Linked DNA regions of Coturnix japonica. The protein of the gene in region 1 interacts with the protein of each later gene in a pairwise test. Links are inferred from orthologs where the notes say so. Each region holds a gene or a part of one and is shown in the gene's direction. Other genes may lie near its edges.

What was found.
Region 2: the proteins of TXLNA (region 1) and CEP44 interact in binary tests that used the Homo sapiens proteins (3 or more experiments, as listed by UniProt). The two-hybrid records come from large-scale screens. The link is inferred for Coturnix japonica from reciprocal best matches to the Homo sapiens genes TXLNA and CEP44.
Region 3: the proteins of TXLNA (region 1) and MED4 interact in binary tests that used the Homo sapiens proteins (3 or more experiments, as listed by UniProt). The two-hybrid records come from large-scale screens. The link is inferred for Coturnix japonica from reciprocal best matches to the Homo sapiens genes TXLNA and MED4.
Region 4: the proteins of TXLNA (region 1) and TFIP11 interact in binary tests that used the Homo sapiens proteins (3 or more experiments, as listed by UniProt). The two-hybrid records come from large-scale screens. The link is inferred for Coturnix japonica from reciprocal best matches to the Homo sapiens genes TXLNA and TFIP11.
Region 5: the proteins of TXLNA (region 1) and BTF3L4 interact in binary tests that used the Homo sapiens proteins (3 or more experiments, as listed by UniProt). The two-hybrid records come from large-scale screens. The link is inferred for Coturnix japonica from reciprocal best matches to the Homo sapiens genes TXLNA and BTF3L4.
Region 6: the proteins of TXLNA (region 1) and DTNB interact in binary tests that used the Homo sapiens proteins (3 or more experiments, as listed by UniProt). The two-hybrid records come from large-scale screens. The link is inferred for Coturnix japonica from reciprocal best matches to the Homo sapiens genes TXLNA and DTNB.
Region 7: the proteins of TXLNA (region 1) and RINT1 interact in binary tests that used the Homo sapiens proteins (3 or more experiments, as listed by UniProt). The two-hybrid records come from large-scale screens. The link is inferred for Coturnix japonica from reciprocal best matches to the Homo sapiens genes TXLNA and RINT1.

Annotation. Positions count from the first base shown.
Region 1 is NC_029538.1:4,544,835-4,549,124, reverse strand, and holds the start of TXLNA (alpha-taxilin), read left to right. Parts: upstream 1-1,490; 5' UTR 1,491-1,661; exon of another isoform or gene 1,662-1,675; intron 1,676-2,025; 5' UTR 2,026-2,061; coding exon 2,062-2,170; intron 2,171-2,972; coding exon 2,973-3,311; intron 3,312-3,797; coding exon 3,798-3,889; intron 3,890-4,237; coding exon 4,238-4,290. Other genes in the region: KPNA6 (importin subunit alpha-7), read left to right, coding at 106-290. UniProt on the Homo sapiens protein: May be involved in intracellular vesicle traffic and potentially in calcium-dependent exocytosis in neuroendocrine cells.
Region 2 is NC_029519.1:38,911,846-38,915,345, forward strand, and holds part of CEP44 (centrosomal protein of 44 kDa), read left to right. Parts: intron 1-307; coding exon 308-454; intron 455-1,333; coding exon 1,334-1,438; intron 1,439-1,774; coding exon 1,775-1,948; intron 1,949-2,351; coding exon 2,352-2,561; intron 2,562-3,500. UniProt on the Homo sapiens protein: Centriole-enriched microtubule-binding protein involved in centriole biogenesis. In collaboration with CEP295 and POC1B, is required for the centriole-to-centrosome conversion by ensuring the formation of bona fide centriole wall.
Region 3 is NC_029516.1:150,970,056-150,974,180, reverse strand, and holds the start of MED4 (mediator of RNA polymerase II transcription subunit 4), read left to right. Parts: upstream 1-1,325; 5' UTR 1,326-1,398; coding exon 1,399-1,496; intron 1,497-2,395; coding exon 2,396-2,462; intron 2,463-3,111; coding exon 3,112-3,282; intron 3,283-3,901; coding exon 3,902-3,959; intron 3,960-4,125. UniProt on the Homo sapiens protein: Component of the Mediator complex, a coactivator involved in the regulated transcription of nearly all RNA polymerase II-dependent genes.
Region 4 is NC_029530.1:6,267,218-6,271,451, reverse strand, and holds the start of TFIP11 (tuftelin-interacting protein 11), read left to right. Parts: upstream 1-1,434; 5' UTR 1,435-1,526; coding exon 1,527-1,723; intron 1,724-2,467; coding exon 2,468-2,471; intron 2,472-4,234. UniProt on the Homo sapiens protein: Involved in pre-mRNA splicing, specifically in spliceosome disassembly during late-stage splicing events. Intron turnover seems to proceed through reactions in two lariat-intron associated complexes termed Intron Large (IL) and Intron Small (IS).
Region 5 is NC_029523.1:21,661,798-21,665,820, forward strand, and holds the start of BTF3L4 (transcription factor BTF3 homolog 4), read left to right. Parts: upstream 1-1,223; 5' UTR 1,224-1,355; intron 1,356-2,220; 5' UTR 2,221-2,230; coding exon 2,231-2,284; intron 2,285-3,185; coding exon 3,186-3,299; intron 3,300-4,023. Other genes in the region: TXNDC12 (thioredoxin domain-containing protein 12), read right to left, coding at 856-934.
Region 6 is NC_029518.1:95,642,749-95,646,927, reverse strand, and holds the start of DTNB (dystrobrevin beta), read left to right. Parts: upstream 1-1,379; 5' UTR 1,380-1,438; exon of another isoform or gene 1,439-1,502; intron 1,503-1,828; 5' UTR 1,829-1,897; intron 1,898-3,440; exon of another isoform or gene 3,441-3,459; intron 3,460-4,179.
Region 7 is NC_029516.1:12,589,369-12,593,299, forward strand, and holds the start of RINT1 (RAD50-interacting protein 1), read left to right. Parts: upstream 1-1,131; 5' UTR 1,132-1,292; coding exon 1,293-1,469; intron 1,470-1,537; coding exon 1,538-1,779; intron 1,780-2,633; coding exon 2,634-2,807; intron 2,808-2,883; coding exon 2,884-3,033; intron 3,034-3,931. Other genes in the region: PUS7 (pseudouridylate synthase 7 homolog), read left to right, coding at 74-210. UniProt on the Homo sapiens protein: Involved in regulation of membrane traffic between the Golgi and the endoplasmic reticulum (ER); the function is proposed to depend on its association in the NRZ complex which is believed to play a role in SNARE assembly at the ER.

The DNA of each region.
Region 1 (4,290 bases):
TAACACAGACAAGCAATGAATAGGGGGAAGGGTGGAGGATGGATCGGGACAGCTTGAACGTTAGGATCTCCTGTCTCATCACATTCCACTTTTGTCTTTTCTAAGGCTTGGATAAGATTGAATTCCTCCAGAGCCACGAGAATCAAGAGATTTATCAGAAGGCATTTGATCTGATTGAGCACTACTTTGGAGTAGAGGATGACTCTGCTTTAGCTCCCCAGGTAGATGAGAACCAGCAGCAATTCATCTTCCAGCAACCTGAAGCCCCTATGGAAGGCTTCCAGCTATAATACGCCCCAGGCAAAAAGACCACCACAAATTTGCCACAAAACAACTGGGAGAAGCTGCTGATCCCATTTCCTCCTTGCAAACGGAAGGCTGGACGCTCACTCCACCTGTTAGGAAACAATTCTTCCTTCAAACGAATAGACAGAGTGCTTTATCCTCATGAAGAAAATGGGATGTCTTGCACGTTTATTTTCTTTTTGCTGCTGCATACGTGTCTTTAAAGCAGGCATCTGGGTGGAGGAAGGACACTGAGGTAACTCGTTGCACCTCTTGGGTTTATTTTTCTTTGTGGTGATCTCTCCCAAATGTCACTTCTTACCTCGGGTACTTAATTGAGGTTTCAGCGTTGGGTTGGGTAAGAACAGAAATAGAAAAGCGAGTATTCAGACGAGAATAATTCTGGAAACCTGGGTTGATCTATTTAATTTTTTTGCACATGTTACTCTTATTAAAGACTCTAATTTGCCAAGAGCAGAGTTTAGCCCTGGCCTTTCTGCGCTCCCCATGCAGCGATCCTGGCAGAGCTGGGCTGGATTCACACTGCAGAACATGGACAAAGGGTGAGGGGCTGTGGGAGGATCCTCCCCGTGTCCTGATATTGTTGGTTGGTTTGAGCTGCTGCTGTTGACAAGGGTCGAAGCAGCCGGAGCTGGTGGCTGTGAGCAGGGCTGGGGCTGGGGGGGCTGTACTATGGGAGCTGCCCCATCCCCAGCTGTATTGGAGCCCCACAGCCCGGTTCTGGTGCTGTGTGAACACACTGGGCCTCATTTCCATGTTTCCGTCCCGCTCACAAACATTTTCCTTCATAAAGTCTCAGATCTGTGTATTTTATACGATCTATCGGCACCTGTTTGTCTAATCGGGCTCCAGAGGAAACCAACACCTGTGTAATGTAATGTGTGTAATAGCGCTGTGAGCCGTTACCTGCACACGAGGCCCGAGCTGCTCCCGTTATAGCGCTGTGTGTGGCCGCGCTCACGGTCGGTTCCTCGTACCGGGCCGGGATCGAACAAAGCGCTGAGCGGAGCCGGGCCGGGAGCGAGCGGCTGTGGAGACCGGGGGGGGCGGAAGTGGCTGCCGCGGGGCACGCCGGGAGTTGTAGTTCCCGCGGCTCTTCCCGCTCCTCGCCTCTGTCTCCCGGCGGCCCCCGCGGCTGCTCGGCGCTGATTGGTCGGCGGAGCGGGGCGGCGCCTGCGCGATGAGCGCACGCTGCGAGGCCCGGCCCGGAACCGCTTCCTTCAGTGCGGGACCGGCGGGGGGAGCGGGCGTTGCTGGGCGCTGCTGGGCGCTGCCCGCCGGTACAACGGGGCTCTGCCGCCTCAACCGGCACCGACCGCACCGGGAGGAGCGGCCGCTACGTCACAGCGCTGCCGGTGACGTCACGGGGGTACGGGCGTGACGTCACGGCGGGAGGAAGGGAGGTGTTGATGACGTCACGGGGGTCACGTGGGATGGCGGGAGCGGACGGGGGCTCCGGTCGGACCGGGGGGATCCGGGGATACCGGGCTGTATGGGGATACAGGGCTATAAGGGGATACCGGGATATGTGCGGGGATACCGGGCTGTGTGGGGCTGATACCGGGCTCCATGGGATCCGGTGCCGCGCGGCTCCTCGATGCCGTCCCCGTGGCGCAGCGCTGGGTCGCGGCGGGTCCCGGTTCCCGGTTCGGTCCCGGTTCGGTCCCGGTTCCCGTCCGCTCCCTCCATTCCCCGCTCCAGCTGCGGTTTCCGTTCCAGCGGTTCTCCCGGTGCTGAGCGCGGAGCGGTGCCGCCATGAAGAACCAGAGCGGAGACGGCAAAGCGGCCCCGCGACCCGCGGCCAAAACCGGCGGCGATCCGGGGGACGAGGCGGAACCGGCAGAGCCCAGCGCGGCCATGGAAGGTGCGGGCAGCGCCGCGTCCCGGTATTGGGTACGGGGCGGCCCGTTCTGTCCGGTCCGTTCTGTGCGACTCGTAGCGTTGATCCCAGCAGCACAGAGTCCCTGAGCGATCGGTTCCTTTAGTGCTGCTCTGTGACATTGAGACAGGAATGGGTGGTCAGCTCACAGCAGGTTCAATTAACCTTGCCCTGCGTTTTAGTAACTGTGGAACGTAGGAGATGCACAGCAATGCAGTGAGTTCAATAGCTGATGCTGTACAGCTCTGCTTGGGAGGAGTTGTGGATGTAGAGAAGTGCTGAGGGGCTGCTGGGATGGGATGGATTGTGCTGGGATGGGGATGGGATGGGATGGGGATGGGATGGGATGGGATGGGATGGGATGGGATGTGGGTCTGAGCCGCTACAGCTGCTCGTATATGTGAGCAAAGAGGCAAACTCAGCTTATAGATCTATTGTTGTGCAAAAAAGGCTCTGGGGATATTAGCAGGCTGCTGCTCCGAGGGAAGGCTCACACACAACCTGCTTTGGTTAGAGGATGGTGGGAGGGGGCAGTTCTTGCTCCTGACAGATGTCAGGGTCTCGGTCATGCTCTCGTGATCAAAAGAGGCTGTTAGGAATGCACCTCCATTGTCAGGGCAGCTGGCTGGAGGCACAGCCTGAACAAAGCAGTTTGTGTGCTGGGAGTTCAGCCCGCCCTGGTGCACTGAGGTGCTCGGGGAAACCTTCCCCTTGCTGTGTGTGCGTGGAGAGCAGAGAACAGGCGGCGTGGGGAAGCATCACGCCTTTGTGCTTGTATCTCCGACAGCTCCCCTTGCACAGGACGACACAAAGTCCTCCCGGGCTGCCGTGCAGGATGTCTCTGAGGAGCTGAGCAGGCAGCTTGAGGACATCTTGAACACGTACTGCGTGGATGCCAGCCAGGAGGGTCCGGGTGAGGACGGTGGGCAGAGTGAGCCCGTGGAGCCAGAGGAAGTGGAGAAGTGCCTCAGTGAGTCCCCGAGGAACGGAGATCAGGAGTCAGGCAGCCCCGAGATGAATGGTGAGAAGGAAGGAACGAAGGGGACCGAAGAGTTTCGACCTGGAGACGAGTGTGGAGAGCGGGATCAGAAGAAGGCTCAGGAAAAGAAGAAAGCCAAGGGCCTCGGTAAGGGGTTTCCTGCTGTGGTTGTGCTGCCAGCCTGAGAACTTTGGTGCAGATGTGGATTTTATACTGCACTAAGTGCTGTTAGAGAAATGAATACCTTAGGTACGTGTTTGGAAATAGTACAGCATCTTATTCTTGTGGTATGGGAGGAAACGTTGAGTGTTGCAAAGACACTCATCAGTCCTGAGTGCTGCTGCAGCCTCTGAATTGTGCAGGTTTCCCCTCTGCTGCACACAGCGTTGTCTAGTTGGCCCCTTGGTGGTTCCCTACTCTGATAACCACGTTTCTCCTCAGCTGCTTCAATTGTTCACTGCTGTATGTGGTGAAATCTGGGGGACAAACCCCCAAATAGGCACTGGAGATGGGAACTCTGGGCCAGGGTGGTCACAGGTGTGAGACCTGGTTTCTGTCTCCTGTCCTTGCCTTTATAAGCCACAACTCCATGTACGTGACGTCACCTTTCTGTTTAATTCTGTCTCACTGCAGGCAAAGAAATCACTTTGTTGATGCAGACCCTGAACACCCTGAGCACGCCAGAGGAGAAACTGGCAGCACTGTGCAAGAAATACGCTGAGCTGGTGAGTCCTCGTTTCTTCATTCCAGGCTCTGGGGCAGTGGGAGGACGCTGCTGCAGTGAGCACTGGGACAGCACTCAGAGCTCTGCTCTGTTTAAGCATTGAGTGCTTGGAGGTCCTGAAGGAATGTGCACTTCTCACCAATTCCAGTAGGATGTTAATTCAGGAAGGAGAAAGGCTGTGTGTGGGAGACCTTGGGTTCTGTATTCATCTGACTGTGCTTTTTATTATAAAGCTCCTGTCCTTTCAGAGTAGACAGAACACCTATTTGATCCCTGTGTACCCTTATATGGGCACAGCATTGCCCTGGTCTGTTTTGCTGCATCTCTGCCCTCTGCTCTCCTACCCTAGCTGGAAGAACACCGAAACTCCCAGAAACAGATGAAGATTTTGCAGAAGAAGCA
Region 2 (3,500 bases), on another chromosome or scaffold:
TTGAACAATTTATGTGGTCAGAAATAGACACACAGAAATCATAACCAGCAGAAGAAAAAAGTTACAGCACCTTTCAATAATTATAATAGAAACACAACTAAGAAATTAATTTGATGTGATATTTTAAAATAATTTTATGTTTGAGCTCCAATTTGTAACAGCTTATAAGTTAAAATCTAATCTAATGCTTTGAACTGAATAAGTGCAGAATGAAAGACTGCAGACAAATAAGAACTGGAGCATGTCATTTCATTTCCACAATAATTTTTTACAGTGATTTTCAAAGCAAACTTTTTCTTTTTTCCAGCTTCTTCGAGATCAATTTCACTATAAACCAATCCTAACAAAAGAGCAGTTTCTTCAGTTTGGTTTTGCAGAAAGAAAAATGCAGATTGTTTGTGACATTATTAACTGCGTGGTGAAAAAACATAAGGAATTAAGTAAACTGAATAAGGTACTGATCAAATGGTAACTTCATGGTGAAAAATGTTATTCTTGATGTGGTTTTGGTCCTCTAGCTAGAAGGTAAAAATCGGTATATTTTTATCAAAATTTGGGGAAAATTAGTATAAAGTTGCAATTTGAGATTCCTGAATGCTGAGTATATAAAAGACACAAGTTGCCAGTGTATTGTACTATAAACAAAATAAAATTACTAGAACAAAGATCAGTGAAATACTTTGTATCTTAATGGATAAGTGGACTTTTCTATTTCTTAACACAGCAATTTTTTGTGTAACTCAAGACATTACAGGTAGATTTAGAACCAGAATCCTCTGCAATATTAAAGTTCTGGTAACATTTAATATAAATATGAGCTTGTATTTGTGTTTTGTTAGTATACATTTTAAGTCTGATTATTTTTTATTAATCATATTTGATGTACATAAATTATTTTTTTATCGTCTATACTGTGTTTAAAAACATGATTTTAATAAAAAATTGTCTGCTTATTTCATTTAAGTTTATAAAAACTTCAGAATTTCTCTTTGCTTTATTTCTAATTGTGCTTCTGAAAGTGACATACTTTTATCCTATTTGACATTCAACCTTGCAAGTTCAGAATTTGTGATCAACTTTCATGCAGCATTGCATAGGTGTTAAGAATATGTATTTGTTTTGAGATCTGTTTTCTCTGTTAATTTAGGATATAATTTTTTTATATTATTTTTTTAAGACAGTGTTGTATTTCAGAGACTTAAATGTGTTTACGTGTGTATGGTGCAGTTTTCTTGCCTGCTAGCATTGGTTGGAAGTGGAGTCTTCTTTCCCTCTGAGAATAATGTTTCCATATTAGAACGACTTTTTTTTCCCCCTCCTCTTTATTTTTAAGGTTAAGTCGCAAACAAGGAAGAAATTCAGACCTTCAAAACGTGAAATATGGTCAAATTGTGGTAATGTTCTTGTTGATCTCAGTGGCACTCTGAATTCCAAACAGGTATGAAATGGGTTTTTATGTTGTGTGTCTAAAAGGTAGTCTCACTTGTAGCAAGTCAGACTCTTTCTGGAATATGTGCTTTCATGTAGGTTTTTACAGTTGATCATGCTTGATGGTTTTGTTTTTTTTTCATCTCCATGCGGTTGATGAAGATAATGGCTGTTACAGAACTGCCTATTGTGGCTTTCTATGTTTTGCAGTCAGTTGGGATAAAACTTCAATTTTAACAATTAAATGCTAGAGTGATAGATGTATTGTACCAGTTATCTATCCAATGCATGTGAATATTCTTGTACTGAGAAACATCAGTGGGCTTTCATTTTTATTTTTTTAAAGCGTGTACAGAAGATGCCTCTTGTAGAACGACACTCAGGAGATGAAGTTAGTGATGAGCTTCCTCTCGCACCTATTAATCCAACACCCCTTAATCCACCATCCCTTCCAGCAGAGGGAGATAATGAAGAAGAATTGGTCTTAGATGATGATGTTGAGGAAGTTAAATGTGAACAAGTAAGAATATATAAATTAAATATGCATTAGATATTTAATGCATTCCTAACTTTTTTTTTTTACAGGACCTTTTTTATGGGATGAGGTTTTAAAAGAATAGTTGGATTCTCTTTAAATATAACTAGTGTGTGTGTGTGTGTATATATATATATATATATACACACAATATATATATATTCAGTGGTTAAAAAAGTCTGATCTTTCAAGTGCCAGTTCTGTTAACAGATCCTGTAAAAGCTTAGTTCATTGTATTATTAGTTTATAGCAATTCTGAAAGATAATTTTCTAATGTAGCATAATGTGCTTACTTAAAATTGTGGAAAATTGCATTTAATTTTATTGATCAAAGGATGAATTACATCTAAGCCAGAGTTAGAGAACGTGTTTTTATCCATGTTTTCAGGTCATAGAAGGTAATTCTCAGATGGAGCTCCTGCAGCATCAACTTGCTGATTGCCAGGAAAAGCTTCATAAGCTAGACTGGATGGAAGATAAGCTACGTGTTTTAGAAGAGAGGCTGAAAGGGAAGGTGATTATAGATGAGAAGGACTGGTATAATTTGTTGAGCAGAGTTTTGCTTCTTGAAACAGAACTGTTGCTGCAGTCCAAAAAGGTATATTAACTTCAATTTTATTTCTATAATAAAAGCAGATGCGGCTATTAGAATACTAACTTTTAGTGTTTTCCAGCTATTACTAGGTGACAGAAGTGTTGCTAAACACAGTGCTGTCTGTTTCTGTTTTTCCTACCTCTTGATGTATGCTTTCCTCTATTCTTAATAGGCTGATCTTAATGCCAGTGTTATTTGAGGATATATTTTTCTACTTAATTGTTACATTCTGTTGCTTTCTGATATTCTGTACCAACTTCTCCTTTGGAGACTGTTTCCAGCAGGTGTAGTTCAGTATATCTTCGAAAGAGTGACCGTGTGACTTTATATGACAGTGAGCTTGTTGAGATAACTTTCACAGACTTAAAATTATGCTGTCTTTAAAAGTTTACCGTATCTGGAGAATTTCATTGTAATGGGAACACACTTAAGGCTTCCTTGTCCATATTAATTTGGATCTCTCATTCTGGGCTGCATATTTCAGTAGTCTGGGGTGGTACTTCTGCCATTGATACAGCTATACTTTCTTTTGAGTTGTCCAGGCTGATCTTTAATCAGATATATTTATTCTCTTTGGAAGATTAAGATTTCACTATATCTTACCATAGTTCTGTGTGCATGCAGTTTGCTAGTTAGGCTGAGTTAAAACTTTTTAAATGAGCAAATTTTCAGACTGATCATGGGATCATCCAGAAATAATAGTGATTAACATATATATATTTGTTAAAAAGTCTCAGGTAGTAATGGCTTAAGAGATTTATAATTTGAAATCACTTTCTTGTGCATAAATATCATAATGTAATTGTGAGTGGATGTATGTCCAAGTGAGTCAGCCAATATTATGTTCTTTCTTCTCTGATCAATTTCAAGGGCACTTCAGCTACACTGCCAAACTGATTTGAGTCTTTTCCAAATGCATTTTCTAAAAGAGGTGGTTGCCGC
Region 3 (4,125 bases), on another chromosome or scaffold:
TAAATGAATATTAAATAACTCTCGTTGGCGGTTATCTCCATTTCAGGGTTGCCAAATCTCACTGCTTCATCATGGATCTCATAACGCTGAATTGTTTATTTAAACCACAATTCAAAGGATCGTTGATTAATGAGTTTCTTGCCTTTCATTTTTTTAATAAGTGTAAATTTCTCAGGGACGTACTTATTACAGAAGGTAAAAAGATAATCAGCGTTAGTATTAGAACATCCAGAGACGTTATCATTCATCTGAAGCTTTCTCTAATGAAGAGAGAAGTGAATCACTGCTTTGCTGGCGGGTTCGGCAGCTGCCTGCTGGCAAGAGAAGAATGTGGAGGCTGAGGACACCATGGCTTCTGCCTAAGTCCTCACCCCAGACATAAACCCTGGCTCTGGATTTGTTTTCACTCCTCATCTGCCTCCACCTTCCGTCCTGATCTCTTCATATTACCAGAAGATTTCATGAATGTAAAAAATTCCACTGGCTTCAGTCTGGCTTCTTTTGTGTCCCCACCCAGAGCCAGAGGCCTGTTTACAGAACCACCCGAATTACAGCAACACTTAAAAAAACCCCAAAACATAACCCATACAACTCAGTATATTTTAATTCTAGCTCAACTGCTGACATGACAGAGGGCAGCACTTGCATGTTTGCTGCCCTGTCATTGCAAGCAGACCTCTGTAATGAAGCAGAGCTGCGGTTGGCTACTATGGGCAAGCCTTGGCAAATTGGGATGGTCATTTTTCCTTGATAGCTGTGAAGTCCTGCTGTTTGTGGGATAGGAAACCTAGGCAAGAGGTGATCCTGGCTCCTTCAGCATCACTCTTAACATTCTTCAGCCACTTTCCTCCTCCATCTGATAAAGCCACCTAAAGGATTTTCAGACATCAGCACCCACAGACACTGAGTACGAAATGATAAGATGGAATTCAGTCATACCCCCTTTCTTTATCATTTGCTTTCTAGATCTTTAGAGTAGGTATGAATCCCATTTAGAGGCTCTTAGAGTCACCGTCTCTGGAGGAGTTCAAGAGCCGGGCAGCTGTGGCACTGAGGTACACGGTTAGTGTGCATGGCGGGATGAGCTGGTGGTTACGAACTTAGGCTCAGAAACGATTCTAAGCACAGTTCCACCTACAAAGAACTAGCTCCATGACACGGCGCTCACAAGCCCACACCTAAAGCCGAAGCGAACGTCATCTCCGCCCCCCGACATGGCGGCTCCCCACGCCCCAGCCTCCCGCGCCGTCCCGCCCTTCCCCGCCCCTCAGGGCGGCCGTTGCCGCTTCCCGCCTCCTGCCGGTCGTGCCGCAGTCCCTCGGCCGCTGGAGGCGCTGTGTCCCGCTGTGTCCCGCCCGAGCGGGGCTGGATTACGGCGGGGGCGGGTCCGCGAGCGTGATGGCGGCTGCGGCAACGGCGGCCGGGGGAGGTGGTGAGCGGAGCAGCACCAGGGAGAGGCTGCTGGCGGCGCTGGAGGATCTGGAACTCCTGGCCAGGTACCCGATGGGATGGCCGAGACTCGGTGTCGAGGCTCCGGCGGGGAAAGCGAGCGAGGAGCCGGGGTTGGGTTGAAGGATGAGCGGCGGCCTGGGGCCGAACGCACGCGTGGGGCCCGGGGGGCAACAGGAGAGCTGTGTCCGTGCTCTGGTTCGTGTGCTCGGAGCTTTGTTCCTCGCTGGCACCTGTGCAGTCTGCCTCCCAAGCAGTCTGTCTCTCCAGCAGCTCTTATTACTCGCTACCAACCTGCCGTGTGGCTCAGTGACTGCCACAGGGATAGTGGGCATGGTGGGAAGAGCTGATGGATGGACTGGATGTAATTACAGGTCTTCTTCAGCCTTAATGATTCTGCGATAGCAAACCCAAAGCCTGTCAGCAACATGTGAGTGATCAGCAGTACCATGGAGCTGGGCCTTTCACAGTCGCAATCAACTTTATTCTAGTCGTAGAGAATGTCATTAAGGTTGGAAAAGACCTCTTGAATCATCTAATCCAACCATCACCCTGTCCCTACCATGCCCACTAAGCACATCCCTCAGTGCCACAGCTATATGTTTCTTGAGCACCTTCAAGGATGGTAACTTCATTGCTCCATTTGAGGTTCTTTGTGGCTCTACATGATGGTGGGAAAACTAAATGGAGGCAAGATCAAGAGGTCTGTTTGAGAAGCTCTTTTAAGCTAATTCTTGTGAGTTTGGTGCACAGCTGATACACCATTGTGAAATACTTATGTTTATGGAAGTAAAAGTGAAATCCCTGTCAACACTGTGATGTAAAACTGTAAAATACTTAAGAACAAGAATGATTTAATAATGATGTAAATACTCAGTTGGGGATGATTTGGTGTGATTTACAAATAATAGCTTAGAAAACTGCATAAATACTGTTTTCCTTTTAGGGAACTAATTGAAATTTTGGCAATTTCAAGAAACCAGAAGCTTCCACAACCAGGAGAAGAGAGCCAGGTAAATTGACTTTCTTAGTTGCTATCCTTTTTGCAGGTAAATGCTATGTCTTCTTATTTTCTCCCTTTGTACATGAACTAACAGAATCACAGATCACAGAATGAGCCGGGTTGGAAGGGACCTCAAGGATCATGTAGTTCCAACCCTCCTGCCTGGCAGGGCCACCAAACATACACCTTTACTAGATCAGGTTGCCCAGGGCCCCGTCCAACCTAGCCTTGAACACCTCCAAGGACGGGGCATCCACAACCTCCCTGGGCAGCCTGTTCCAAGGCCTAACCACTCTCCTAGTGAAGAACTTCCCCCTAACATCCAACCTAAATTTTCCTTCTTTTAACTTAAAACCATTTCCCCATGTCCTGCTATTGTCAGCCATTTCGAAGAGTTTACTCCCCTCCTGGGTGTCCTGAGACTTAGTCCTGAGACTGAGGACTCCTAACGATGATGATGAAGCTTTGGCATCACTGAAAAAGCATTCTTGGTTTCATGTTTTTGATTGCTTGTTCATTTGTTTCATGCTTCGTAGGCTGTTTCTGCAAGCTGAGCAAGAAATAATAATCTTGTGGATATCAGTTGCTTTTTGCAGTGTGGTGGAGGGTGCGTTGTTACTTGAGCTAATTAAAAGTTCTACAAAACTCTTGTCTAATAGATCCTGGAGCTGCTGATTCAGAGAGATGGAGAGTTTCAAGAGCTAATGAAGTTGGCAGTTGATCAGGGGAAAATCCATCATGAAATGCAGCTTTTAGAAAAGGTAGTAGAAAAGAGAGATAATGACATTCAGCAGCTGCAGAAGCAACTGAAAGAAGCAGAGCACATACTGGTAAGTTCATAATGATGTGTTTGCTTCTGAGCATCTGCTAGTAGGGAGGGGAAAAGCTTTGGAGAAAGTTTTGTGTTAGTTTGAGAAGTTTGAAATGTTTAAAACTTTGTGAGAGCTTTAGAGTTGGTTGTTTTATTGTCTTCCCCCCCTCCCAGTAAAACTACTTCCTTATCATGGCATTCAGTTACTTTATATTGATAATTTTCTACAAATCTACTTTGTTTCTGTATATTTTGAAGCGTTTCCGGAGAAGTTTCTCTCCTAAAATGCAGTTACATCAAGGGTTTAGTCACACAGATCTTAATACAGAAGGATACAAATGAAAGATACAGTGAAGTTTTGGTTTAGAGTCATAGAATCACCAAGGTTGGAAAAGACCTAAAAGATCATCCAGTCCAACCGTTCACCTATTACCAATAGCTCCCACTAAACCATGTCCCTCAACACAACATCCAGTCATTCCTTGAACACCCCCATGGTCGGTGACTCCACCACTTTCCTGGGCAGCCCATTCCAGTGCATGACCACCCTTTCTGAGAAGTATTATTTCCTAATGTCCAGCTTGAATCTCCCCTGCTGTAGATAGTGTTGTTTCTTTCTTGTTTTTTTTCACATTTAGGCCACAGCGGTTTATCAAGCAAAGGAAAAACTGAAATCAATTGAAAAGGCAAGGAAAGGTGAGTATCCGCGATCGTACATAACATACAAACAGTTGTAAAGAGTGTTGCAAGTGAGCTCAAGTTAGTAATCTAAGTTAGTAATTTTCTCTTAAGGCTATTACAGATTTCATATTGCCTAAATCAAATCATTTCAGTGTGACTACCTGGAAAAGTGAAAGGGTTT
Region 4 (4,234 bases), on another chromosome or scaffold:
CAGTTGCTTTAGGTTTTCAGAGCAATGGGAGACAGTTTGTCAAATCTCTTCCTTTTCTGAGCTCTGGAAACAGGATTAATCCAGCAAAATCACAACCAGCCACTTGGGGGTGTTATTACCGGGTGTGGAGAGGGCAGGAGTGGGGTCGTGTATGTGTGTTGAGCCCCAGCAGAAGGGGGGATGTGCCCTGTGTGCATTTCACAAGGGGGTGGTGGTGTTTGCTGCCAGCTTGGGAGAACAGAACAGCTCTCCTTGATTTCTGCAGCAGCTGTTTGTGTGTCAAAGGCTCTGAGTACAAACAGGTGCTGTTGCCCATCACGCAGGGGTTGGAGCTCAGCATCCAACAATTGCTGTCTCACAGTGGTTTTCAAGTTGGCTGTTGGGACTTCCTGACTGCTCAGACTGTTTCTTCCCTTGCAGGCTGCTGCAAACGGCCCAGGGTGGCTCCGTAAAGAAGAGTTTGCAGTTGCACCGATGGAGATCTGTTATCCAAGCATATTGCTTGCTGATATTGCCAAAATGACTGCTGTGCCAGGAATGTATTTGCATTTATTTGCAAAGGCCAAACGTTGTACACTTCGATACCACTCGTCTCCCTTCGCTGGATGCTCCGTGGTGAAAGATCTGTGGAAATGAAGCACGACCGACCCTCCAAAGTGCATTGGAAAAGAGATTTCCTGTTATTTTCAGTGTCTCGTAATGCTGTTCCTTATACGTGCAGATCAGAATAGGTGTCATAACCGTGTATAGAGCATTTGTTGTACAGGTGACAATGCGGCGGACTGTCTCTTCCGTTCACTTGTCATTGACAGATTCTATTTAAGAATTAATATATGAGGTCAATCGTTTCACTCCTGGCTGCACTCATTCGAGTAAACTCTTGGAAAGGGCTGACAATAGCAGGACACGGGGAAATGGTTTTACCAGTTAAAAAGAGGGAAGATTTAGCGTTGCGATTGTTTGGGGGGAAGCTTCTTCACTAGGGAGAGTGGTTGAACCCTAGGAACAGGCTGCCCAGGGAGGGTTGTGGATGCCCCGTCCTTGGAGGTGTTCCAAGGCAGGTTGGAACGTGCCTGGGCTAACGCTGATCTATGGGGATCTATGGGGTCTCTATGCGGGATTCTATGGGTCTCTATGGGCGATCTTATGGGTGGTCGTATGGGTCTCCTGGGGCAACCTGACTAGTAAAGGTGTAATTTTTGGGTGGCCCTGCCAGGCCAGGGGGGCTTTGGAACTACATGATCCTCTGAGGGTCCCCTTCCAACCCGGGTCATTCTGTGATTCGTTTCTCATGACTAGAGAAGTGATTTAATGTCACAGAGCTGCCTCTCGGGATACCTCCCGAGGAGCTGCTCACTCGACAGGGGGCCTAGAGGGGCGCGTTCCTTCTAGCCAGCATCTCTATGGTTAGGGCATGGTTAAAGTGACGTATTTTTCCGTCGCCGGAAGTGATGAGGTTCGGTTCCGTCCCGCCGCCATAAAGAGCGGTAGGTTGGAGCGGGGCCGGGTCGTCGCTCGGATCCATCATGTCGATGTCACACTTATACGGCACGGACGGGGAGGATGGAGTGGAAATGGAGAACTTCGAAGTGTCGGATTGGGACCTTCAGAACGAATTCAACCCACACCGGCATCGCCACCGGCAGACCAAGGAGGAGGCCACCTATGGCGTGTGGGCCGAGCGGGATTCGGACGATGAGAGGCCCAGCTTCGGCGGCAAGCGGTGCGGGATGGACCGGGCCGGGCTATGGGGGATGGTCACATAGGCCCAAAGGGCGTCAGGGCAGCAGGGGGTTGGGTTGTGGGGTATAGTGGGGTAATAATAAAGTGTGTTATAGATATAGGTTAAGCTAATACATAATCAGATAGTCTCCTCTCTCCAGTTCTGATTACATATTCATTACGTTCCCTATGACTCCCCGTTCCCCGCAACCCATTCCTTCATTCCCCCTGACCCATTCCAACTGACCCGCCCCTTAATAGCAGGACACGGGGGAAATGGTTTTAAGTTGAAAGAGGAAGATTTTCAGGTTGGATGTTTAGGGGCGAAGTTCTTCACTAAGGAGAGTGGTAGCCTGGACAGGCTGCCCAGGAGGTTGTGGGATGCCCCGTCCTTGAGGTGTTCAGACGCAGGTTTGGACGGGGCCCTGGGCAACCTGATCTAGTAAAAGGTGTATGTTTGGTGGGCCCTGCCAGGCAGGGGGTTGGAACTCCCATGAACCTTGCAGGTCCCTCCAAACCCGGGTCATTCTGTGATTCTGTGACCCTTGGCCGTTGTTTTTGGGGTGAAATTCTTGCCTGTTTTTTTTTCTTACTTGGTGTTATCTGCTGGTATCGTTCTCCCATGTCAGCGATCATCCTTGCCCGGGGGTATCTAATCTTTACACTTCTTATCTTATTGCCGCCTCTTCTCTGGTTTTTCTTTTCGACTAAGTGTCTGTAATTCCCCTTTTCCCTGCCCTTTTAGAATGGTACACTATCTACAGTTTACCCTTTGTCTTGGTTTCTGTGAAAGTTCCCCTTTCTATTCTATGCAAGAGTGTTACCTTTACCATCCATTTTGGTGGCTCTTGCTCACTCTTACAATTCCCCCTTTTCTTTATACATAGCAGGCCTTTTACCTCTAGATTCTTAAGGGTCTCAAATTACATATATGACTCCGTTCTCTACCCTTATGTCTCACAAACGCTCGTATTGCCTTTGCTGTACAGCTTAAGTGAGGATAGGAATCCGTAGTAGTTATTACGTTTGTAAACAAGCACATAGAGCACTTTACTACTATACAGGTAAAACTTATTAACAGCACCAAGATGGCTATAAATTGGAGATTTACCGATCGAAAATGAGCTAGCTGTTATCAGATAACGCCTACAATTTCGTGGTTATACCAGCTCGAAGTGGAGTTAGTGGTTCCCACAAATCCTTTATCTTTCGCCTGAGAACCTAGTGTTATCAATATGCGCGACACAGGTAAAACACGTTGCTCAGCTCAATCTTCACCAAGGAGGAGGAATACCGATGTTATGTCTTCGAGAGGTCAATGGAAAGCATCGTTTGAAGAACTCGACAGGTCTTAGGTTTTGGTTCAGTCTCTACACTATACGGAGGAATGATAAACAGGTAACCGCTCCCTCGATAAGTGGCTGGAGATTGTGGTTGACCGAGTCCCCACCGCGGTGAAACTTCAATGAAGCCGGCGGAGAGCGCGGGCTTGAGCGAGTCTCGGTGTGTGGAAGGGAATCTACTGATGAAGATGAGAAGCCCCATTTAGTAGCCATGGAGGAAAAATCCCTAAAATGGGAAATAGTTGCCGAAGACAGTTGAAAAAACAGTGAGTGAGCGCAGAGGGAATACTGAGGCGAGTTGGTGCTTTGTTTCAGCCTGGAGAAGAGATAGGTTTGCGGGGTGACCTCATTGCAGCCTTTCACCAATATCTGAAGGGAACATTATTCTGCCCAGAAAGGGAGTAACAGCTCTTGGAAGGGCTGATCAATAGCAGGACTACGGGGAAATTAGGTCTTTAAGTTAAAAGAGGAAGTATTAGCAGTTGGGATGTTAGGGGGAAGTTCTTTAAGCTAGGTAAGAGTGGTTGAGGCCCTGGAAAAGGCTGCCCAGGGAGGTTGTGGATGCGCCCGTCTTTAGTAGTGTTTCCAAGGCAGGTGGTAAAGCGGGGTCCCACTGGGCATTACCTGATCTATGTAAGTTGTGTTATTGTTTTGGTGGCCCTGCTATGGCAGGTGGGGGTGATTCCTTGAGGTCTGCCGACGGTCCTCACTCTGGAGTCATTCTTGTAGTGAATTTCTGTTGTAGATAGTGGATACTATGATCTGTTTGTCGTGAGCTCTAAGAGGATAATTTCTGAGGTTCTTGCGGTATAAACAGAGCTATTCTGAAAGAAATGTGCCTTCATTTGTCGCCAGATGTGGGCAAGTTTAGTGTGGATTAGTATAGTATACTTCCCTTTTACAGAATTAGGGTTATGGTGCTGAATAGGCTCCAAGGTGTTAGGTTCCTGATATTGCCGCAAGGCTTGGTTGTGTTTAAGAGCCGTTTGGATGTGGTGCCTCAGGATATGATTAGGTCAGTAAAGGGTTTTTAGAGTTAGGGCATCTGGTTAGGCTGCGGTTGGACTTGATGATCTTCAAGGTCTTTTCCAACCTGGGTAATTCTATGATTCTAAAGGGAGAACCAATTAACACTGATGTAGCACGTGGGTTATGGCATGAATTTGAGG
Region 5 (4,023 bases), on another chromosome or scaffold:
AAGGAGCAGCGCTATGCAGGTTTCTGAGCATTGCAGTGACCAAACAGCATGTGAAACACGTATCCAACAAGCAGGTATCAAACCTTGTTCTGTCAGCTAACATGCAAACAACAGGAAAACAGAGACTGCCATTTTTTAGCCACAACCATCACATGAAGGGCTGAGATGGAGGGGATCTGACATAAGGGGAGCCTTCCTTGATGAACTCCTCTGAGGTCCCATCTCTGCAGTGACATGGGCTGTACCAAAAGGCCAAACTCAGCCATGACTTTCCCCTCCCCATTGCTGAGGGCTGGGGTAACTCAGTGACCGGCACAGGCTTCATCCCCTCCATGGGGATAATGCGGGAAGTTACAGTAGGACCAGGAGCCACGAGCTGCCAGCACTGACAGCATGGCAGGCAGTGCCTCCAACAAACACCTGTAGCAAAGAAACTGCAGAGCGGAGCAAAGCCTTGTGGTGCCTTCCTTCAGCATCTGGCAGACTGCAACTGCTGCCACAGTGTTTGTATGACCTCGGCTTATCTCCCAGTACAAACTACCGTGAACGCGTATGACAAACACATCCAATATTTGGTCCAGCTACCAGCGAGGCACTGACGTGCAGACTCGGATGGGCTGAGGGAGCTGGGAGCCGTGAGGTGAACAGGTTTCATTTACACCGAGTACCAGCACGTTGAATGCTGCATTCAAAGGCCACCACGACGATACAGGACAGACCGGCCCCAGCACCAGCAGCACCAACCACAGCCCCAACAGCAGCTCCAACAACAGCCCCAACAACAGCTCTGACAACAGCCCCGACCACAGCCCCAACACCCCTCCCCCCCTCCCCGCTCTCTCCCATCTCTCTGACCCTTTCCGAGTCCCTCGGCGGCGGCGCTGGCCACGATCAGACAGAGGCAAAGTGCGGATGCCGCGTGCTGAGGCCCCATGTTCCCAGCAGCGCTGTGACACGCAGTGACACGCAGTGACACGCAGTGACACGCTGTGACACGCAGTGCCAGCCGGGCGCTGTGGTGGCACCGCGGATCTTTCTCCTTTTCCTTTTTTTTCTCCCTTTTTTAAAGCCCCGGAAGTGACGCAATGCGGATGTGGGCGGTGCCGCCGGGCCCTCTGGGAGCCGCCATGTTCATCCCGGATCGGACTACAATTCCCAGCATGCCCCGCGCCCCGCTCCGCCCCGCGCTATGCAAATCGTGCGTGCACAGCCTCCAATCCGCGTGCGGGGCCGGGCGGCGCAGCGGCGTCACGTGGCGCGAAGCTTCCTTCCTTTCTCTGTGCGGCGCTCTTTCCTTCCCGGCCGCCATCTTGTTCTCACCGCGTGCGGAGCTGCGGACGGGCCTGTGGGACCAGGTGAGAACGGCCCGCGGCTGCACGGCCCGTGGGCTCGTGGTCTGCGGGGCAGCGGGAGGGCGGTGCGGTGCGGTGCGATGTGATGCGTTGCGGGCTGTGCGGCACTCGGCCCCGTTCCGTCCCCGTGGGCCGGGCCCTGGTTGCGGGGCCGTGCCCGGTGCTGAGCGCTGCAGTGTCTGCGCCGTGTCCCGTCCGGCCTCTGTGTGCCCGGATACTCGCCCTGCATACTCCGTTCCCTTCCCCGCTGTGCCGGTCCCGGCGCTGTTGTTGGCCTCCATCCGCTGTCGCTCTATCAGTGCACGTTCCTTCCGCCTCTTCGGGCCGCTCGGGGCTGATCAGCGGCAGCGCCGTTTTTCAGCCCATACCGGGCTTCGTGTCTCCTGGCCTTTAAAGGTCACGCTCGGCCCGTGGCAGCGCCCAGGTGCTTCACTTACGCGCCATTGGGTTGGAGCGATGGCTGCCAGAGCTCCGCGCTCATATTGTGGCACTGTGTGAACCTCTCGAGTTTGGAGCCAGCTGGTGAGCTGCACAGATCCATTGTAGGTTTGTTATTTGGCTCAGCCTCGCCCTGGGCTCCGTTCAGCACAAAGGTGCTTTGGAGCAGCCCGTGCTGCTTTTGGGCTGAGTCAGTAACGAGGTGGGTCCGGCCCTGAGCTGACAGACTTGGAAATTCACGGCTTGTGCCTCGAACTGATGCAACATCAAACACAGCGTTGGTTTGCGTCATCGTGGTGCAGATGCTGCTTTGTGTTATTTAGATGTTGTGCTTATGAGATGTTTGTGTTCACGTGCTTCCTTGAGTTATTTCAGTGACTTTTTTCTTAATATTTTGCTAGTTAACTTGTATTTGTACCTCATTCTTTAGACACAACACTATGAATCAAGAAAAACTAGCCAAGCTTCAAGCTCAGGTCCGAATAGGAGGAAAGGTAAGAAAGCCACGAGAGCTGTAGTACTTGCTGTGGTTGGATCTGTAGGCACAGAGCGAAACTTCTCATTAGAAGGCATGTAGGGGCCTGGAAAAAGGATTTGTCATGTGATGTGGACCTGAAACAGTCTGCATCTTAAAACTGCCTGAAAAGCAGTTGTATTTCAGTTCACGGGTAACTGTATGAGTGGTTCCCGAGTGCAAGCTCTTTCTAAATCAGTGACTTGTTGTGACCTGTATTCAGGTCAGTTTAAGCTCACCTGATGCTTGAGTTCTTTCTCTTCTACCTGTTGGGAAGTTTCTTTTTGGTATGAGCTCCAGTGTTTATCTGGCTGTGCACTGGGCTCTTTCTTTTATCTATGCCAGCCCGTATGTAATATGACAAAGGTTGGACTGGATGATCTTTTAGGTCTTTTCCAACCTTGGTGATTCTATGAAAGCATATAGATGACTCCATGTGAGCATTCATTTCCTAACTATAGGCAGGAGTCTGGGGGTTGTACAAAAGCTTGCAAATTAGAAGTTCTTGAGTTGCTGTCTTTGGAGCAGTTTAAAGCTGTTAACTACTTACAAAAGAGTGGATTTCTACATTTGCTTCATCTTGGATGAAATGAAGTTCTTAACCAGTGTTTTTACATGTTGCTTATAAGCTAATATTTTTTATAATCCAGCTTTTGGAAAAAGGGAATACTTCTGTGCTTCTTCTGGCTTCTACAGTTAAGAAGGATTTTAAAGCTGGGACTGGCAATTAAAACTATAAGTGAAGAAAGTTAATACATGTTTTCTGCCACAGAGCATTCTTACAGCTCGGAAAAGAGATGTTGCTGAGTGTGAGGTGACTTTAAATTGAAAGTGCTGTGAGAATTTGAGCGTTGCAGGCTGTTCTGTTGATTCTTTTCCAGGGAACAGCTCGCAGAAAGAAGAAGGTGGTGCACAGAACAGCGACAGCTGATGACAAAAAACTTCAGAGCTCACTCAAAAAACTGGCAGTAAATAACATTGCTGGCATTGAGGAGGTATAGTGACAGTGTTTCCTTTGTAAAATTAAATTCACTGTGGTGGTTTGTTGCTTCTTACTTTCATTTTCTATCTCAGACTCATTTGTCTGGTTATGTGTTGGTGGAGTTACTTTATTATTATTATTTTCTTTTAATTTGTCTTGTTTTCATTAATGTGCACATATCTAGAAAGAGGAGGGAAAAGGTTTTTCTATCCAGACAGCGAGCCCAGGGGATAGTAAGCTGCCTGTGATGTATGTCTTTGCATTAACTGCAGAACAAAAGAGCTCTTGATTCTTGACCTCTTGAACTGAAATTACCTAATTTTAACAGTAGAGCGATGATAGTATTTATTGCACAAGCACATTCAGTTCCTGTGGGGTGCAGAACATAAAGGAGGGAATCAAAGTCCTTGGAATAGGAATCTACAAGTCTGTGTTATCAGAACTGGATGCTTTGACTTTGTGAAAATAAAACCAGGATTGTTTTTGGTAGAGGCAGGAGTCTGGCACCTCTTAAAGCACTAGCAAAGCTCTATGGAAGCAGCTTCTGTGTTGCAATGAAAGGCTTCAGTTATTCTGTACTATTTTTGTGTATTAAGTTTTCAGGATAAAATATGAACTGGAATAGAAGCTCTTTTGCTGTAGGGAGTGACGCTTTTATGTGGGAGGAGGAGGTGTTCCTTCGTCACGAGCTCCATGTTATAGTGCTGCTTGGTTGAAAACGCATCCTTAATCTGTGA
Region 6 (4,179 bases), on another chromosome or scaffold:
TGACATTTCTAATCACTCCATGAACCACGTCACATTTGGAGATGCCGTATGAAGGAGGGTCCGGCTCACCCGCTGTCACAACGCAGTGAGCTCAGACAAGCGATGGTTGTGTAAGCTTCATGCTCTGGCTCTTCAATGTGCCATCAAGAGCTCCCCTTGGAGCAGCCAATTCTGCACAAATCTCTCCTGTTGTAAGACCAGACCTGAGGTGGTGCTGTCCTCCTGCACTTCACCTTTCCGACAGCCAGCGGCTCCAATCTGCGCCATATTTTGCACCATTCATCACTGAGGAGAGGTTTGTCCTTGGAATGACTTTGCTGCCTCAGTGCTGGTGAGACCTCACAGCTGGGGAGCTCGGGCTGCTCCCTTTCCTTGGGTCTCTGTGGTTTCTTTGTGGTTCTTTTAGTATTCTTGCATCACTATGGGAAAAGAAAGAAAAAGAACACAGGCACATGAAAACCCATACACAGCCTGTTGGAAAATATCTCCTTTTACTTCAGATTAATTGAAAAATACACTGAGTTATTCCAAGTCCTCCACTTCTCCCTACAACACCTAACCAACCCCAAGGCTTTATTTTTCTGCTTTTATTTCTTCTTCCCTGCTGCTAAATTTGGGTTTGCCGTCTCCCTTCACACTTACCGAGACCCTTTGCTGACCTCCCCCTGAAGCTGGGCCAAACCACAGCTCTTTAAATGGCAGCTGTGCTGAAGCTGAGTCCCAGGAGGTGTTTTGCTCTTGTAATTCCATTCAGATGCGGATGGCTCCAATGCAGTGGGGGCACAGGGCAGGCAGCAGCGCTGGATGAGAAGAGGTAGAATTGTTTTACACAGCATCCCAGTTGGGTAAAAGGAAAACATAACAGTGGGCTGAATTAAAGTGTTACTGAGAGAGAACTCAAAGAGGGGAGGTTGAGGTTGGATGTCAGGGGGAAGTTATTTACTGTGAGAGCGATGAGGTGCTGGAACAGCTGCTCAATGAGGCTGTGGATGCTCCGTCCATCCTTGAGGGTGTTCATGGCCAGGTTGGATGTGGCCCTGAGCAGCCTGGGCTGGTATTAGATGTGGAGGGGGTTGAAGCTTCACTACCGCCATCTCGACGTCCCCTCATCGCCCTGAGGAGAGGCGCTGACCGCCCACTGCGCCTGCGCAGGAGACGGGAGCGCGCGAAGCCCCGCCGGCTGTTGATTGGCTGGAGAGCACGAGCGCTCCCGAGGAGGGGCGGGGCGAGCTCACGCACGTCCGCCGCCGGAGAAGCGTCCGCTCGCCGATTGGCTGTGGAGGTGAGGAGGCGGGGCGAGGCACGAGGGCTCGCTCAGCCATTGGCTCTCGGAGGCAGAGGGCGGGGTGGGATTGGCCGGAGGGTGCGCGCCCCCGCGGAGACGCTTTGCGATTGGCTGCGCGCCGTGAGGCGGCCGGGGACCGTTGGAGTGGGGACGGTGAGGCGGAGCGGCGGTGGATGCGGCCCGGGCGGAGCGGGGCGGGGCGGCCAACACGGTTATGGTGTGTGGGGGCTGCGGGCATCAATGGGACCGGTCGGATTGTCTATGTATTGGGCTGCGCTAATAGCGGCGGGCTCCGAGAGCCGAGAAACGGGGAGGGCGGCGTGGGGCTGAGGAAGGAGACCCGTCCCAAGCTCGGTGCTGGGAGTGCTGGGCCCTCCAGGCCGTGACATGGGCAGCCCGTCCGTGTACCGACGTGGAGCCTCCCGCTAAGGGTGCAGCATGAAGTTGGGTCTTAGCTTGAGCTGAACGGGGCCGATAACCGGCTGTTTGTCATAGTGGCTCTTTCTTTTTTTTTCTTTTCTCGTGTGGTTGGTTGTTTTTCAGGTCGTCCTTCGATGTTGGCAGAAGGAGTTGAGGTGGCTGCTGCCCTGAGAGGCTCCGTGTGCCATCCAGGTAATGTGGCATCCAGGTAACTGTGGCTGGGCTGATGTGCACGGAGCTAAACAGGCTGTGTCTGTGGGTTCATGGTCAACAGAGCATCCTTAGGGTTGGAAGGGAACCTTAAAGACCACCTGTCCCACTGAGCAGGGACACACAGCTCCATCAGTGCTCACAGCCCATCCAGCCTGACCTTGGCTGTGTGCAGGGATATCCAGCACCTCTCTAGGCAACCTGATGGACCTGGAGAGCCATAGTGCTATATATGTATATGTCATAGTGGTGAGGCTGGTCTCTTTTCAGTAGTGCGTGGGGATAGGACTAGGGGTAATGGGATGAAAGTACAACATAGGAAGTTCCTTTATACAGTGAGGGTGACGGAGCACTGGAACAGGCTGCACAGGGAGGTGGTGGAGTCTCCTTCTCTGGAGATATTTAAGACTCGCCTGGACGCCTACCTGTGTGACATGGTGTAGGGAGCTGCTTTGGCAGGGGGGTTGGACTCGATGATCTCTAGAGGTCCCTTCCAACCCCTACAATTCTGTGATTCTGTGCAGCGCTCCTCTTATTCATAAGTGATTGTTAAGCCCTAGATAGGCTGGGGAGCCCTTTGCCAATGGTTTGTGTGCTGCTTGAGAACGCTCTGATAACACTCGAGCCACTGCCTTGAGTTTGGTCATCAGCTGTGCAGTGCTGCTCTTTAAAAACGCTTTGTACTTTCAGTTTTCTTATTCACGTTCCTGAAACTGAGTGTGCAGTGCGTCAGCTTCCTTGTTCTGCTGTTGGCTGCTGTGGCTTTCCAGGCAAAAAAAAAAAAAAAGAAGTTAAAATTCTCATTTCCACGTTGGGAAATGTGAGAAACGTTGGCCTGAAGAATTACTTGGGTTGGTTTTTATTTGTCCTCCTGCCTTTCATTGGTAAGTGTGTGTGATCCTGTACTGCCAGCTGATATTACAAAGTGCACTCGAAGGAATAGAGGTAACCCAGAATTGTCTGTTTGAGGCTGTTGCTTTCTGTGTTTCCAAAGGATATTTTAGATTAGTGGAGAGTTTGGGTAAAAGGGTGTTGTTGCTGACAAGCAACTGGAGAAGATGGAAAGAATTAATTGCTGTAGGGCAGTTCCAGCTTAGCCCTCTCGTTCGTCACATTATTTGTCAGTACCAGCATAAATAACAGTTGTGAGTGGTATAGAAAGCAGCCTGCTTTTCTTAGCCTTATCACTGCTGCTCTTTAACTTTGTGCTTTTGGGGTGGTGAGATTTGGTGATAAGGACTTAAATTTGTAACATTTATGTTGAGTTATGTTTCGGGTTTTTCTCTCAGTGCCAAAGTGGAGAAATCATGATTGTAAGGTGCACATTTGGTTTAGTGTTTAGATAGGCTCCTGCTGATAACTTGTGCCTAAGCTTAGCTTCGTGGCTCTCTTGCAGTCATGGAATGAATCATAGAATGGCCTGGGTTGAAAAGGACCACAGTGATCATCCAGTTCCCCCTGCTGTGTGCAGGGTCACCAACCATCAGACCAGGCTGCCCAGAGCCACATCCAGCCTGGCCTTGAATGCCTGCAGGGAAGGAAAGGTGCTGTATCATATCTGTGTGCTTTTTACAAAACCTTCTTTAGAAGCAGCTCCTGATCCACTGTGTTTAAAAGAAAATTAACAAACACAAGGGAAAGCCCCCAAAATGTAAAAGCAACACCAAAAAAACGCTAACTTGTGACTTTGCAATGTAATTCAATACAGGCTTGGTCTTGATCTGGAGTTTCTTGATGATGCTCTTTTAAACTGCCATTCATTATGGCTTGTGAAGTTCTTAAGCAAACATTGGAGCTTTGTTTGGGATCCGTAGAACCGGGAGGTGTATGCGGTTCCTCATGGATGCTCTGTTGTCAGGTTGGTGTAGATATTGAGGTAACATATCAAAGCATTCTTAATACTTCTGTGCACCATTACTTATGCTTTAATTAATTCCATTTAGGGTTGGGAACTGAGTCTGAAATTGTAGTTGAACTAGAAGAATGATCAGAATTGTGTAAAATATGCTTTGAAAGAAGGCGTTGGTGGTCTGTTAGTGTGAGTGGCTCTTCTTTTTCTGTCCTTGGGTTTCCATTGAATGGTTTGGGTTGGAAGGGACATTAAACCTGTTAAATGTATGCCCATGAAATAACTACTAGAGCTCTTCCTTTTTCCTGGTAAGAGGTGTAGTGAAGTAAAGAATCATAGAATTAATTACAGAATGGCCTGGGTTGAAAAGGACCACAATGATCATCTGATTTCAGCCCCCCTGTTATGTGCAGGG
Region 7 (3,931 bases), on another chromosome or scaffold:
TGGATGGCACTCAGAGTAAGCATTATTTATGTTCTTTACTTTCTTTTTGCTTTGTCTCTCCTCTTTACGATAGATGGTAAATTCCGGGCACTGAAGATGGAGTTCTCCCTTCCGCCATCCACTTACGCCACTATGGCGATCCGAGAAGTTCTGAAGATGGACACAAGCATTAAAAACCAAACGCAGCTGAACACTACCTGGTTACGCTGAGTGAACTGCTGGCACGGCCTAGATTTTAACATGTACAAAGTGTTTTCCTACTTACGTTCTGTACAAATCTTTGAAGGGTGGCAGTGAGAGATTTGTATTTTTTAAGTTTTTATTAGTGCAAGCAGTTAAATTAAGTAGTTATTAGCAAGATGCCGGTTGTAATGTAATACGGGCCTTAGTGACTGGTGCTTTGTAACGAATGGACCATGAGGTCGCTTGAGCTGTGTTGCTGCATCTCTGAGAAGCAGGCTTATGGCTTCTGACCTGGGCACATGTTCGTCTCGCTCTGTTTCAGCGAGCAGTGAATGTTTTTATCAGTTCAGCACACCTTGAGATCTCTATATTAAAGTACAGCATTAGGAAAATTAGAGCTGAGTGAAGGTACTGATGGCTGTTTGCTTCCAAGAAGCTGCTGCGGTCAGCCGGGCTGGCTGTGTGCTGCCACAGGGCACAGCTGTTTTAATTAAACACGAGCTTCTTCCGGGGAAAATGTGTGCATTTTCAGCTTCACCAAGACAAGGTACTGGGAATAGTTAACCAAACACAACGGTGTGTCAGTCCGTAGCGCCTCGCTCTGTCCCTGGCTGAGCCAGCCTGCTGCTGGGAGGCAGAACGAAGCTGCATTTTAAACGATTCTAAACCAAATAGGGAATTCGTGCTGCTTGTGTGAATAAAACGCCGTGAACGGAAGGTGCTCCCGGCTCTGTGCTCCCTGAGGTGGGGTTATGGGGGAGCTGTGTGGAAGGGGCGGGCGCGGCCATGGGGGTGGCTGAGGGGGAGGCGGGTGCGCATGCGCCTCTGGGCCCGCCCCGGCTGTGATGTGTGCGGCCTTGGGCCGCGCTGTGCTGACGCGGCGGGGCGGGGAGCGAGGGGCTGCGGGGCCGGCGGTTTGATATTGCTATTAAAGGCCTCGTTTTAAAGGCCGGCATGGCTATTAAAGGCCTCGTTTAATGTTCAGGTGAAGAGGAATCGCCCTGCGTTCCCAGGAGCCCCGTGTCCTCAGTAGGTCGGTAGTTGGTCGTGTTCCCTTAGTGGTAACCAAGTAGAAATTACGTAAATAACATTGCGGAAAAAAAGAAGGCATGGCAGCCGTTAATGTGCCGAAGAAAGAAGTCGTCAGAGATCCGGATCGCTGCGATATCCCGTACTACGTTTCAGAATTTGTGGAAAGAGAAGTTGGGAATGACTATGATTCTCTGAAGAAGCTGGGCAGCCTCATTGAGAAGCTGTCTGAAAACAAGAGGCAGCTGGAAGAACAGGTAAGTGTCTGTGCTCATTCTCCGTGTGATTTTTCTGTGTGAGGCTTAATGCATGTCTGTAAATGCAGGTTCTCACGGTTTCATCCGAAGTCCCTAAAAGAATTCAGAACGCCTTAAAGAATGCAGAGGACTCAAAACAATCTCTGAATCGGCTTCTAGAGGAAGAAACTCTCCTGTCCGATTCCATCAGCAGCCACTTAGAGAAAGCTGAGCCGTGGATGGAGGATCTCGGGGTGCTGATCAGCCAGGTGGAGGAGATTGAGCATCACCTGGCCTATCTGAAATGGATTTCCCAAATAGAAGAGTTAAGGTAAAGCCGATGTACTTATGGAGAGTTCTTACTAGTGGTATCACACAGCTTCTTCAAAGATTCAGTGTTAAATAATCACATTTAAGGAATAAACGAGAGCAGCAAGTTGTCATCTGGCCATATAAACTGTTAACGTGTTCTCTGGTGAGAACTGGAAGTTATTGCTCTGGCTTAAGGAAGAGAACAGTAACTGTGTCGATATGTGGATGGAACTCTTTCACCCACTGTAAATTATGGTGTAAGAACTAAAATAATACTGGAATATCTTGAGCGGAAATGTTACGCTTCAGACTTCGTGATTCTGAGTTTTCATTCTGGTACACTGATTTTATCGTAATGGGAATGAACAGTGCTGTTTTAGTTAATGTGATTTGTAGCTTCCTTCAGTGGAAAACTTTGTGTAATGCTTGTAAAGAATGTCAGAAATTGGAAGATTCCTTTGGGTCAGATTTTGTACAGAGAGACTTAAGTTATGAAACAACTTGGTCTGAGCTATGAAAATGTGACAGGTGTGCTGCAGTCTGAAATTTGCTTCCAGTTTTCCTCCTGGGAAGCGTGAGGAAAAGCAGATCTTTGAACAAGTTCCATAAAGAGCAGTGCTTCAAAGAACTTCGGGCCTCCCTTCTTTCCTTCTGCCTTCAGGTCTCGGTGACAGGCAACTTAAGGAACTTCACACAAAGAACTTGTTTCGTGAATCCTTGCTGTAGGATGTATGTGATGGGAGTGGTAACCTCGTTAAAGTATTTCAGATTGAGCATGTTTTCTGCCAGTTTCTCAATATGATGGTTCTTTTGTGTTATCTTTAGTGAATTTTTGTCTCAACTCTTCTTGTATTTATGTTCTTGTGTTCATAGTGATAACATTCAGCAGTATCTGATGACCAACAATGTTCCGGAGGCAGCCAGTACTCTAGCGTCTATGGCAGAACTGGATATTAAACTTCAGGAGTCATCTTGTTCTCATCTTCTTTCGTTTGTGAGATCCACTGTTAAATTTTGGCATAAAATTCTTAAGGACAAGTTGTCAAGGTACAGGACGACTCATCACTCCCTCATTTCATGTTGTGCCGTAGCTTGGTGGTAAAGTGTGTGTTTTGTGTTGCAGTGACTTTGAAGAAGTGCTGACCCAGCTTCGTTGGCCATTTGTGGGGCCACCGCAGTCTCAGGCGTTTGGCCTTACTGCGCCAGCCAACGCTTCTGATGTTTACAACAATTTAGAGGTTTTGTTCTGCCAGCTTCTGAAATTGCAAACATCGTATCCTTTAAAAGTGTAAAGAAAATTGCCTTGGGGGTGTTGGTTGGTGCTTAGCTAAACATGAGCCAGCAGTGCACCCAGGTGGCCAAGAAGGCCAATGGCATCCTGGCTTGTGTAAGAAATAGTGTTGCCAGCAGGAGCAGGGAAGTGATTGTACCCCTGTACTCAGCTCTGGTGAGGCTGCACGTTGAGTACTTTGTTCAGTTTTGGGCCATTCACCACAAGAAAAACACTGAAGCCTTGGAGTGTGTCCAGAGAAGGGCAACAAATCTGTTGAGGTGTCTGGAGCGCAAGTCTTGTGAGAAATGGCTGAGGGAAGTGAGATTGTTCTGTCTGGAGAAGAAGAGGCTCGGGGGAGACTTCAGCTCTCTCTACAACTGCTTGAATGGAGATTGGTGTAACTGGTGATAGGGTGAGGGAACTGTCTCAAGTTGTGCCGGGGGAGATTGAGGTTGAATATTAGGAACAATTTTTTCTCTGAAAGAGTGGTCAGGCATGGGAATGAGCTGCCCAGGGAGGTGGTGGAGTCACTGTCCATGGAGGTATTCAAGAAACATTCAGGTGTTGTACTAAGGGACGTGGGTTAGTGGAAGAATATTGGTGGTAGGTGGGTGGTTGGACTGGATGATCTTGGGAATCTTTCAACCTTGGTGATTCTGTGGTTCTATTCTGCGATCCTGATCTGCCTTTGAGGTAAATCAGAAGATGCTGCTCATCCTGTTCCTTTAGTTTGAGGGTAAAATCAGGCAGAGATAAAACTCAGGCTTTTTTTTCTTTCTTTTCTTTTTGTTTTTTCCCAAACAAACAAAACCCAAAACAGGAATAAATGTGGTCATGTTATGCAACGTGGCGCTGGAACAATTCTGGTTGGTTAGACCAGGCTACTTGCACCAAGGTG